Nothobranchius furzeri: one gene and its partners. The protein of the gene in region 1 interacts with the protein of each later gene in a pairwise test. Links are inferred from orthologs where the notes say so. Each region holds a gene or a part of one and is shown in the gene's direction. Other genes may lie near its edges.

Region 1 (4,100 bases):
CAGGACCTCGTCTTGCTGTGGAGCCTGGCACAAACACATCGACAGAAGCTGAAGGGATGAAACATTCATTACTGTGGCAGCATGCAGGATTATTAAGTGTGTGACTGGGTCAAACTGGGACAAGCTGGGAAAAAATGGGACTGTGATCTAACAACACCCTACATTCAGGCTTAATTAAAGCTGCACAGACGGTGTTATCAAGTACAGGAGGGAGCTCTCTTCTTGTGACACAGCCTACAAGCTCTGACTAGTTCCTGCGATATAACCAGGGGTGTGACCACGAGGAGAGGAAAACAATGCTTTCTTGTCTCTGTTATCTGTTGCTGTCCCACCCTGTGTCCTCTCAGCAGCTTTTCGACCTGCAGCCTTTATAATAAATTAATGCATGCGATTTCCACCTGACTAGACAGCTTGCTCTTGGCCTGCCCTGCTGCAGACAGCACCACTCTCAGGGTTCCACTCCACGCCTCGCCTCTATTCACTAAATAGGCAAAAACGGGGGTTAAAAGTGAGTTTTACCTGAATCTTTTCGATGTAAGAAGCAGGGATGTAGCCGGTCTCCCCGGAGCTACAGCGGGACCCCAACCACCAGTGTTTGTTGCTTCTCTCCAGGATTAGAAAGCTCTCTCCGGCCGCGAAGTGCAGTGAGTTGGGCTCCACGGATCGGAAGGCGTACAGAGACCGATACATGATTTAGTTTATCTGTAACAAACCGAAAAGTGACACAGAAATAACCTGTTATGAAACAAAAACCGAATGAAAAGATCTGCTCCGCAGGGGTGATTTAAAGAGCCCATGAAGTCTACGGTGAGCGGCTCATGTCTATTTACAATGTAGCTCGGATCATCTGACCTGAGCGAGCGCTACCAGAACAGGCCACAGGGGGCACTGATACACCCTAAATACGCCTATCAGACAGTTTAATCAAACCCAGAGCTAAAATCTAATTTGATTGTGAAAAATGTGTAATACATTTATTTTCATTTGAAGTGGAAACATTTATGAAGTTACAATTAAATGATGTAAAATGTAAAAACATTTTACTTGACGATTAAAGTAAGGTTACGGTGTTGTACACACGCAGGGATAGAGATAGTTTTTCTTCCATCTTACATTTGCAGAAAGGATTTCAGCATTTTGAATCCTTGTAAATATGTTTCAATGTTACATTATTTGTTTCAGAAAGAGTTGAATTATATATGTATTAAATACACACACACACACACACACACACACACACACACACACACACACTGTTGGCGAGATAAGAAATGTTCGATTGTGCTGTGCATAGCACCGGAAGCAGCTGCCTTAATGGTGTCACAGAGAATTCCGTTCCCCTGTTATACTCGTCAACATGGCCACTGCGGTGTGCAGCAGGATGCTTTTCCAGAGGTCGACTCGAGGATTTCTGTCCTTTTCCAATACAATTCCTGCTTTCTCTTGGTAATTTAATTTTTTCAACAAAAGTATAGAAATCCTATTAGTTAAAAAAGAAAATAAGGTCAATTGCAGAGTTAAAAGTTGGTGTGATATTGAATTGAAAGTGTTATAAAGGTGATGTCTGTTTTGATAATTAGCCTTATTAAAGTTGTATAGCATTATTTTATAGTATTTAATAAAGTGTTTTAGTGTTTTTATTTCACTGAAGGTTTAAATTTCCCGCTTTATTGATGCTTTATGAATGTTCGTCGGTTCAATTTCCTTAGATTTACTTAAGGTTAGCCTCAAAATGGTTACTTATATCTAGGGTAATTTTCAGTTTTAGTTAGTATAATCATTTTCAGTCTAATTGCGCAGTTTAAAGTGTGTTGCTCAATCATTAAATCTTCATATATAATGTGGAAGTATTATTCAAAAGTCTTATGACTATTTTATAGCTCACATGTGTATGTTAATGAGATTTCCTTTACAGGAAGTGTGACTTGTGATACTTTGCAGAAGTGTTGCAGAATAGATGCAAACTGCTCTCCAGACAGCAAGAGTCCAGTAGGTTGCCGTAGTTACAGTTCAGACTTGAGCAGAACTTGTGATGAAGTTCATAATAAATAACAGGAAATGTATGTCTGAAGCAGATGTAAATGAGAAGCAGAAGATAGATGGACACAACATAACTAAAATGTTCCAGTACAAGTTAGGGAAAGTGTCCTTATTTGGTGAAAACTGAACTATTGACCTTTTATTGCTGATCAGAAAAGATGATAAACTGTTAAAGTGTGTAAAGGTGCAGAAGGAACACCCTTCTTTCAGTAGAGAATGACATTTGATGTTTAAATTCACTGACAGGACCTCCCTATGTGTGTGTGCTTGTGTAACTTTCAAATTAAAAGGCTGAGGGGGAAACTGAAAAATCATAACACATTACCAGGTTACTGCTCGTGTGCATCTCATCTCAGGCCAACCAAGATCTTGTGTGTGTACATGTTGATGCTTAAGGTGCAGGTCTCTTTTCAGGCTCACCTCAAAAGAATCAGGAGCAGAGTGAGAGAGGAATTTACTTAAAAGTAAAGAAGAATCTCACCGCAACAATTACTGGAAGTTTTGTTGAATGTTATGAAAAATAAAATGTGTTTACATATTCTAACAGACTAATTGGCTAATTTAGCTAATGTTGAAATTAAAAAGCATTGATTGTGTAATGTGATGTGTACAGTGTAAATTAAGCTTTTGGCTGAGGACCCCATCAGTAGGTGGTTTGGCAGATCTGCATTCCTCTGACTTTCTAAGAATATTAAAACTATGGAAGAATATACACACACTGGATTTATTCATTGTCCGTTACTTGTTTTTCAGTCTAGAAACAAGCTTTGCATCAAGTCACTGACAATAAACAACAGAATAAAGCCCATTTATTATTGTTTCTAATCTAGTTTTCTGTCTCTTTTTCCAGCCCATTTCTGTCTCGCGCTCACAGATTGGAACCTGGTGATGATGAGTTGTACCAGAAAACCACGGTGTCCATCATGAAGAAGGAGGCAGACAGTGGGATCATGATCCACAGCTACAGCCCCATAGGATTTACCGTAGATAGTAACCAGGTGCTCGGGCCCTGTGCTCTGCTGCCTCCTGCCATCCTGCAGTGGAACGTGAGGTTCATCTCCAGATGTTCTACACAGCTATTAGTGTGCCGCATCACATCATTCTGTTTACAAAAACTGATCAAGAGTTTGTTTTAACTGTCTGGTTCTGCAGGTTGGTAGTCACGAAGACATCACAGAGGAAAGCGTCTCTCTTTTCCACATGATTGCACCAACAATTGGTATGAATGAATGCACACTGATATAAAGATGTTTGTGTTTGGCCCGTTTTAATCTTCACTGGTCCAATTTCATCACCTCAAACTTGGGTTTTTTAGCTGCTTCATCTTTAAGAGAAAGGAATTAAAACAGGTTGTAGCTTGAATGATGCTGCAGCTTCCATGATGTATTATTGCTAGACCACAAAAACATGCAAACTCCTATAGAAGACCCCAGAAAGTATTTAAATGGTCCTTCTAGTGATCTAGTGAGAAAAGTAAAGGAATTCAGCCATTAATCTAATCCCTTCATGTTTTAATGATAGTATTGCAGGCTGCTATTTCTCATAGAAACTTGCGTCAATTGTATACTTTAGGTGACCATTCCTAGTATTTTCTACTCTTTATTCTGTCTGTGTGTTTATATGTAGCTAATCATTTAAACTTAAACACTTTTTAATGTTTCTTTCTGGTTTATGAAGAGATTCTTGTGCTGGGAACAGGAGCCCGGCTTGAGCGAATCAACCCCTTAGTTCTTGCCTTACTGAGGCGTAAAGGCATCGCTGTGGAGGTGCAGGACACGGTAAATATTTGTTCAGCCTTCATGACTCTCAAACCACAAATGTTTTTATTATTTAAACTTTTTTTTGCAGCCGAACGCATGTGCAACATTCAACTTTTTGATTAGTGAGCGAAGACTGGTCGCCGCTGGTCTGATTCCCCCGTCTCTGAGCAAAGCTCTGGATATTAAATGAGACTAAATGTGGTATTGTGAGAGTGAAAGCAGGACAGACTCACTTTGTTCCAAGGTCAGCCGGCAGAGGAGCTTCCAAATGTGTCCAGCTTTACCGAACATTGTTGCAGC
Region 2 (4,133 bases), on another chromosome or scaffold:
TACTGGTGAAAACGCTCATCAGTCTTTTTTCATGGTCTAATACGTAGTTAACCAATACTTACTGGTAAACACCCAGTCTTATTCAGAGACTAATAGGTATGTTTTTGTGCTTTACTAGGGAACATATTTGTTCCTCAGTAGGTACTTGGGAGAAGGCTTCACTTTAAGCTAGACAAAAGCAGTAGGTAATGGTTAAGTACCTAGTAGGTACAGATTAGTACCTTCTAAGTTGGGAGAAGGCTTCACTTTCCATCATCTTGCGATGGACGGATGCCGACAATGGACAAAAAAGTGACAGACGTGTGAAGTCAAGATGAAACAGTGATGTTAAATCACTGTGATGTTGCAAATTATCTGCATTGTTCATGAAGTTTACAAAAAAAAAAAGTCCACAGGCACTACATTCATTTGGGATTTGTTCCTTAATGCGTTCAAAGATTAGTCCCTGAATAAAACTGTTGGGTTTTCACCAGTATGTATTGGTTAACTACCTATTCTTCCCTGCTTCATTACTCATTACTCCCTAAGTCGTTCCCTAGTTACGAAGCATAATTTTACGTACCTTATTGTAAAGTTACTGTTATTCTTCTTAGGTTGTCTACTCTGCCTTTTTTTGACGTCATGTTTTTCCAGTATTTCTGATTTACTGTTCAATTCAATTCAAAAATACTTTATTAATCCCAGGGGGAAACTGATTGCTGTAGTATCTCAGAATAATAATAATAATCAAGTCATCAAAGAGTTATTGTATATTACAATGGCTGTTGGCAGGAAGGATCTCCAGTAGTGTTGCAGCGAAACTGAAGAAGCCTCTGACTGAAGACACTCTTCCGTTGTCGGACAGTCTTGTGAAGAGAATGCTCACGGTTGTCCATAATTTTCTTGATTCTCTGGAGAATCCTTCTTTGCATTATCTCCTCCAGTGGTTCAGAAAGTGCCGAAACTCTGACTGAGTCCTTGAAAGGGCTTGGAGTTCCTCCATCTTGTTGGCCAGTGATCTCACATTGCCCATTATGATCGATGGGAGAGATGGTTTGAATTTCCTCTTTCTCTGTCTCCGTTTTGCTCCCGCTCTGCACCCACGCTTCTTGCGTTTTAGTTAATTTGGGATTTGTCGCGTCAGTTGAGGTATTATTTCAGCCTTTTCAATGTTAAACAGCTGCTCCCGATTGTAAACCAGCTTGTTGCCATGGTTACGCATCATAACAAATGCTCAAAAAGTGAAAAAACCTAAACAATAGCAGCAAAAGTCCTCCAAGCTTCACAGCACCAGAAACAGAAAAGTAAAGTGTCCAAAAAAATACCGTTTTTCTTGAGAAACTAGAAGAAAAAATGTCCAAGAAAAGGCTAAACTTACATATAGTTAACAGAGCTACTCCAACATGCAGCCACCCAGAGCAGCGTAAATAAGAAGAAAAACCATTTTAGTTTTAGCCATTGTAAGTTAAATGGTGTTTTGAGTTTCGCTATTTTGATTTACACCGTGTGGTGGCGGTAATTCACCAGAACGGTTTGGTAACCAACAAATAAGACAAAGAAGAAGAATTTCTTCCTCTTGTTTTCTGGGGAAAAAAGTCTCGGAGCTTTCATTCAATTTCAGGTTGGTACTACGTCAACATCTAACGCGTTTTACATGGTTAAGTGCATTTTAACTGTTGATTTAAAATATTTTTGACAAGCTTAAACGATTTGAGGTAACGTTGGAACTAGTAGAAGTATTTAGGCAGATTAATGACGCTAAATGCTGTTAGTTAGCTTTTAGCTAACACGCTGTTGTTGCCTTCCGCCATGTTTGTTACCATTGCGTTTAGATGCTGGATTTTTGAATGAAATTGGACTTGAAACTGCGTGAAAATAAGCACATGTTTGAGTCTTTATTTTATTTTTAGCTATTTTATTTATTCTCCTAGCCTTAAACATGACCACTCCAGCAGAGGTGCGCCCCAATCACACGATCTACATCAACAACCTAAACGAGAAGATAAAGAAAGATGGTGAGTTTCGCATCATTTTCTTTCCTTTTCTTTGTTTATTTCACGCACAATTAATGCAAAGTCTCCTTTATTATTGTTATTGATTATTTGTTGTTTGTGTGTCTCCCTCAGAGCTGAAGAAGTCCCTTTATGCCATCTTCTCTCAGTTTGGGCAAATTTTGGACATTTTGGTCGCACGAAACCTGAAGATGAAGGGTCAGGCGTTCGTTATCTTTAAAGAGATTAACAGCGCTTCTAATGCATTAAGGTCCATGCAGGGTTTTCCTTTCTATGATAAACCTATGGTACGTCTATTAAACATGTTTAATAATGCACAATTTAGACATTTCTGATGGAAGTACACGTGTGACTCAAATATATACTTTCTTGCAGCGAATCCAGTACTCTAAAATGGATTCGGATATTATAGCTAAGATGAAGGGGACTTTTGTGGAGCGTGACCGTAAAAAAGAAAAGAAGAAGCCCAAACCTGAATCTACAGGAAGTAAAAAAAATGCTGCAGCGATTGCTGGGGTACCTTCTGCAATCCCAGTGAGTGCACTAGGTGTTTTTTACAATCATGGTTAAACAATCTAGATATTTGTTAGTGAAGTAACGGCAGGTTTTAGATGCATTAAGAGTTAAAAGCTCAATTAACATGAATAGAAACTAAACGTTTGTCATTCTTTAGGGAATGCCACCAATGAACCAGGCTCCTCGCATGATGCACATTCCAGGCCAGCCACCTTACATGCCCCCTCCTGGAATGATGCCTCCTCCTGGGATGGCTCCAGGCCAGATTCCTCCTGGTGGGATTGCTCCTGGTCAGATGATGCCAGGACAGATGCCTCAGCAGGTAGCTTGTGTTCTTTTTCCTCACAGAACGTTTTGTTTCCTGTCCTGGTAGTTTAATCCTTACTCTCTTCCCACAGGTTTCAGAAAATCCACCCAACCACATTCTCTTTCTCACCAACCTGCCAGAGGAGACGAACGAACTCATGCTGTCCATGCTCTTCAACCAGTCAGTACTCATTTTCTAGTCATACATTTAAACAGATGCGTAAAAATGGATCAACTTTGACTGTTTTGTGATGCTAACATTGCAAATAATCTGAGAATTTAATTCTCTCAAACTGTTTTTTCTGTAATTGTAACTGAGCTGCTCTGTGCGTTAAAGGTTTCCCGGCTTCAAAGAGGTGCGTCTTGTTCCTGGTCGTCACGACATCGCCTTTGTGGAGTTTGAAAACGAGGTGCAGGCTGGCGCGGCACGAGATGCTCTGCAGGGCTTTAAGATCACTCAGACGAACGCCATGAAGATTTCTTTTGCCAAGAAATAACGCATCTTCCACCAGGTCCTGATTTAATTTGCATACATGTCCGTACATGTAAGTATCTGAGTCAAGTTGCTGTTAAGAAAGTTGGAGTGAAAAACTGGGAGCTCTAACTTTGTGCAATGGTTTGGCTTTAATCTGTAATGCTTGCGCAACTTGGTGTCCACTTCTCTGTTTTTCTGTTTCATAGTTTAAATTTTTTATTATAAACTGTTAAAGCATTGCACCCAGTGTCTGGTCCACCAGACATTGTACCTGGAGCTATTCTTTTTTTTTTATCTTGATTAAAATTTGAATTGGTAAAACACTAGACTGTTCTTTCTTTCGCTGTGTGTGTGTGTGTGTGTGTGTGTGTGTGTGTGTGTGTGTGTGTGTGTGTGTGTGTGTGTGTGTGTGTGTGTGTGTGTGTGTGTGTGTGTGTGTGTGTGTGTGTGTGTGTGTGTGTGTGTGTGTGTGTGTGTGTGTGTGTGTGTGTGTGTGTGTGTGAACAGGTTTGAGCATAAAGGATAACTCAACATTTCCTGTCTGAAATGTCAAAGAAAGGAATTGAGTTTAGAGTTGCATTTGCTTAATCAAGCCAAGCCAACTTTGTTTATAAAGCACTTTAAAAACAGCCCTCGCTGACCAAAGTGCTGAACATAAAAACATAAAAGCATAAAATAGAATACAGTGTAAGGTTAAAAGCACACTAAAATAAAACACAAATCAAATAGAAATCCAAAACGTGTTGAAAGCCAAGCTAAAAAGGTGGGTCTTTAAAGATGATTTAAAAGTTTCCAGTGAGGAGGCCTTTCTAAGATGTGCCGGCAAAGAGTTCTGGGAGCAGCAT
Region 3 (3,742 bases), about 21 Mb from region 1:
TGTCAGGTGTGATTTGTGATAAAAAGGTTTCAGGTGTAGAAGCCATTAGTAAGAGCAGCCATGTTGCTTGGTTTAGAGACAGTGTCCATGAGGACATCATAGGATTGGAGGTTGTGGAGCTCAAGATGTTGAGGTTCTCTTTGGGAGTGAAGGATGGATAGGATTGGGACCGAGCCCATCAGAGAGACATAATAATAATAATAATAATAATAATAATAATGCATTGAACTTATATAGCGCTTTTCTAGACACCCAAAGACGCTTTCACACACTCTCACATTCACACACTGCTAGTGATGGTAAGCTACTTGTAGCCACAGCCGCCCTGGGGAGGTCTGACAGAGGCGAGGCTGCCATTTGGCGCCGTCGGCCCCTCTGACCACCACTAACACAGGCAAGTTGGGTGAAGTGTCTTGCCCAAGGGATCGAACCCATGACCCTCTGATCATGAGACAACCCGCTCTACCACCTGAGCTACTGTTGCCCCACATGTTAGATGTTCTTTTGATGTGTCACATGTCCACCAACTCCCAACAGTTAAGATGTCACCAGCAGCACAATTCAATTCAATTCAATTCAAGTTTATTTATATAGCGCCAAATCACGACAAGAGTCGTCTCAAGGCACTTCACATAGTAAACATTCCAATTCAGGTCAGTTCATTAAGCCAATCAGAAATAATGTTTCCTATATAAGGAACCCAGCAGGTTGCATCGAGTCACTGACTAGTGTCAGTGACTATACAGTAATCCTCATACTAAGCAAGCATATAGCGACAGTGGAGAGGAAAACTCCCTTTTAACAGGAAGAAACCTCCAGAGAATCCTGGCTCAGTATAAGCAGCCATCCTTCACGACTCACTGGGGATGGAGAACACACACACACACACACACACACACACACACACACACACACACACACACACACACACACACACACACACACACACACAATAATGTGTCTACAGTTCTATTGTGATGTCTTAGTAAATATTCTATTTGGTATTTGGTGGTCCAGCCACGATGGAGGAAACCTTCACTCTGTGTGATTAAAGCATCAGCTGAAACGACCTGAGCTTTAAAAGGAAACAAGTTCCCAACAATATGGACATTTCTGACTAAAAGAGGTTATTTATTTATTTATTTTTTATTTAGGATATTGGTTCGTTAACAATACAGTCAATATGCACAAAAGACTCAATATCCACTATGAAGTACATGGAAACAGTATAAACATAACAAAAACATACCAACAGATTCAACGCCAGGGGTTACTGCATACAAATTATGAAACATATGAGAATGATGATCGAAACAGGAAACAATACGAGACATGCAGCAGAGTATGAATTATGGAAAGATTAGAAATTTTGAGCAGAGACTTAGTGTCTTAATGGCTTTGTTATTGTTCGAGGTGGAGATTGTTTTCAAATAAAGCTTAAGCTCTTTTTTCAAGACACAAAAGGAAGGTATCTGACTAAAAGAGGTTCCAGTATTGCACACATCGTTATTACCTCATTATTCATAATACCCCAGAGTCCTCCAACCGCGCGAGGGCGCTGTCGGCGGTACTTTTTTTGTCAAAAGAACCTCGTCGCTCGCCGTAGACCAGGAAGTGGTTTAAAGTCATCCACCATGGGGGCACGGGTCGGGCGAATGCTGCGAAATGTCAACCTGGAAAATCGGGCGCTTCGGGAAATTTCCAAGGAAAAGCCAAAGGTAGCGCCCCGACATGCGGTGAATGTTCCTCCTCCCGCGGCCAGTCCTGACGGTGAGTGTCGGGGGGAGGGCACCGGGCAGGGTCAGGGGCGGTGGATGACGGTGTGTTGTGTGTCCCAGTGACGGAGTCGGTGAAACAGAAGAGCGAGTCCCTGCAGGTCCTGCTCAGGTCCGTGTACGTGGAGTCCAGAGATCCCGCTTCTACAGAGGTCAGAGCTCACCTGTTCCCCCCCCCCGCTGCGGTAGTTACCGTTAAAGTCAGAGGTCAGAGACCCGGATCAGCTCTGGTCTGTGCCTCAGACCAGCTTTCGGTCACGACATCATCAGCTGTGTAAACCAGTCAGTAAACAGCCGCCCACTGGCTTCCATTAACTCCCTCACCATCACTGTCTCGGCCCAGAAGGAGGACCCAGCTGGGTCTGGTTTCACCTGGTCAGCTGCCTTGGCTCCAGAAGTGTGCCATTGCTGGCCATCATTACATTTCAGACCTCACACAACAGTATCGACCGCTACACACACAACGGGTAAACTAGTAGTAGCACATCCAACGTCAAGGAAAGCAAAAAGTTATTATCAGGAGCGGGAGAATCCCTCTGGGATTAATAAAGTATCTTTGATTTGATGCTGATACACATCTTCTGTGGTTTTACAGAGTGTAAGGGGTTCGCTGTTACAATAAACAAGGAGTGGGTATTTGTTGGGCTTATAACGCTTCAGCGAACCCAACACGAAGCCTTTCCCATTGGCGGTCTGATCGAAACCTTTTCACGCTCGCGTTTTAAACACATGAAGGAACATCCTCTGATTTTGTGTTTGAACTTCTCTCAGGCATCCAAGGAGGCGACGGTGGGTGAGGAAGTGGAGCGGAGGCCTCTCCGCGTTAACTTCCCAGTAAATGCGTTGGGCCTGGTGGAGCTCACAGATGTTCCCAAAGGCAAACTAAGCCTTCCAGAAGCTCTGAAGGTCCTTGGAGGTCACCAGCACCAGCCCCAAACCTGGACGCCTGAAAAGGTCGCACAGGAATATTCCCTCGAGTTAAAAGACACCAGAGCTCTCCTAGAGTTTTTCATCCCATTTAGGATGGAGATCATACCTCCCAAGACTGGAACTGCACGGCAGATTAAGGCTTCTTAGGACTGGAGTCTTCCTGCTCACTTATTCTTAGACTTCTGGGTTTTGCTTTGGGAGAAGAACTTGGTTTTCCATGTGTTCCCTGTGAGTTTTGTTGGAATTTGGAACGATGGAAGGTTCCTAACCTATGTGAAGGCTCAGAAAAGCTGGTATTAACACAAGCTAGTTGGAGCTTCTACATTGCTGCTGGAAGAGCACTCTGGTTCTTCTGTTTCAACCTGTGTGTGTCCCCTTCACAATAACGGTTTGTGATTTAGCTTCTTGTGTCACTCTGGAGCGGCTTCCTTTATAACATCAGATTGTACATTCAAACATCAGGTCCGGCTCCGACTAAATAAAAAAGTGAAACGTAATAAAAACTGGATTCATTATAAAATGCAAATTTGTCAAATTAACCACTAAATAAAGGAAAGGGTAGATTGAAGCATCCCTCAAACACAAACTTCCATTCTGGACAGCACAGGCGACAGCGGGAAGAAAGGTCCGGGGAAACCTGTGATTTGTGGCCGTTGCAAAGGATTGTTCATGTCACACATTACGGCGAGAGGTCTCAGTGAGGCAGACGGCACCACGTCTCTCCAGCAGGACACGCTGCGTCATGAGCGCACCTCCCAAAGCAGACCGCTAACCAGAACAGGTGAAAAGATAAAAACTGTTTCAGTGTCCGTTCCCTACCCAACTCGCCGTCCTCAAAGGAGGAGCTTCGTTTGTCAAACCCTTGCTTTAGCGTCAGACTCCGGCTGCGGGTCTCCTTTTCCCATCTTCCAGCTCAACAGCTGATTCTGTTTGCTCGTCATTCCTCCTCCTTTACACACAATAACCCACTGAAGTACAGAGAAGTACCAATCTGTCACAGATCGCTGCGATATCTAACAAAGCTGTAGCAGCGTCAG

Evidence for each region. The genes of interacting proteins can lie anywhere in the genome.
Region 2: the proteins of ndufaf3 (region 1) and snrpa interact in binary tests that used the Homo sapiens proteins (3 or more experiments, as listed by UniProt). The two-hybrid records come from large-scale screens. The link is inferred for Nothobranchius furzeri from reciprocal best matches to the Homo sapiens genes NDUFAF3 and SNRPA.
Region 3: the proteins of ndufaf3 (region 1) and ndufaf4 interact in binary tests that used the Homo sapiens proteins (3 or more experiments, as listed by UniProt). The two-hybrid records come from large-scale screens. The link is inferred for Nothobranchius furzeri from reciprocal best matches to the Homo sapiens genes NDUFAF3 and NDUFAF4.

What each region holds. Positions count from the first base shown.
Region 1 is NC_091743.1:68,500,077-68,504,176, forward strand, and holds the start of ndufaf3 (NADH dehydrogenase [ubiquinone] 1 alpha subcomplex assembly factor 3), read left to right. Parts: upstream 1-1,290; 5' UTR 1,291-1,357; coding exon 1,358-1,446; intron 1,447-2,890; coding exon 2,891-3,086; intron 3,087-3,192; coding exon 3,193-3,259; intron 3,260-3,717; coding exon 3,718-3,818; intron 3,819-3,888; coding exon 3,889-3,990; 3' UTR 3,991-4,100. Other genes in the region: nckipsd (NCK-interacting protein with SH3 domain), read right to left, coding at 1-24, 520-690. UniProt on the Homo sapiens protein: Essential factor for the assembly of mitochondrial NADH:ubiquinone oxidoreductase complex (complex I).
Region 2 is NC_091753.1:42,104,686-42,108,818, reverse strand, and holds snrpa (U1 small nuclear ribonucleoprotein A), read left to right. Parts: upstream 1-1,473; 5' UTR 1,474-1,600; intron 1,601-1,910; 5' UTR 1,911-1,918; coding exon 1,919-1,994; intron 1,995-2,105; coding exon 2,106-2,278; intron 2,279-2,366; coding exon 2,367-2,525; intron 2,526-2,664; coding exon 2,665-2,829; intron 2,830-2,905; coding exon 2,906-2,994; intron 2,995-3,150; coding exon 3,151-3,310; 3' UTR 3,311-3,611; downstream 3,612-4,133. UniProt on the Homo sapiens protein: Component of the spliceosomal U1 snRNP, which is essential for recognition of the pre-mRNA 5' splice-site and the subsequent assembly of the spliceosome. U1 snRNP is the first snRNP to interact with pre-mRNA.
Region 3 is NC_091743.1:89,859,096-89,862,837, forward strand, and holds ndufaf4 (NADH dehydrogenase [ubiquinone] 1 alpha subcomplex assembly factor 4), read left to right. Parts: upstream 1-1,493; 5' UTR 1,494-1,634; coding exon 1,635-1,770; intron 1,771-1,838; coding exon 1,839-1,927; intron 1,928-2,546; coding exon 2,547-2,852; 3' UTR 2,853-3,220; downstream 3,221-3,742. UniProt on the Homo sapiens protein: Involved in the assembly of mitochondrial NADH:ubiquinone oxidoreductase complex (complex I). May be involved in cell proliferation and survival of hormone-dependent tumor cells. May be a regulator of breast tumor cell invasion.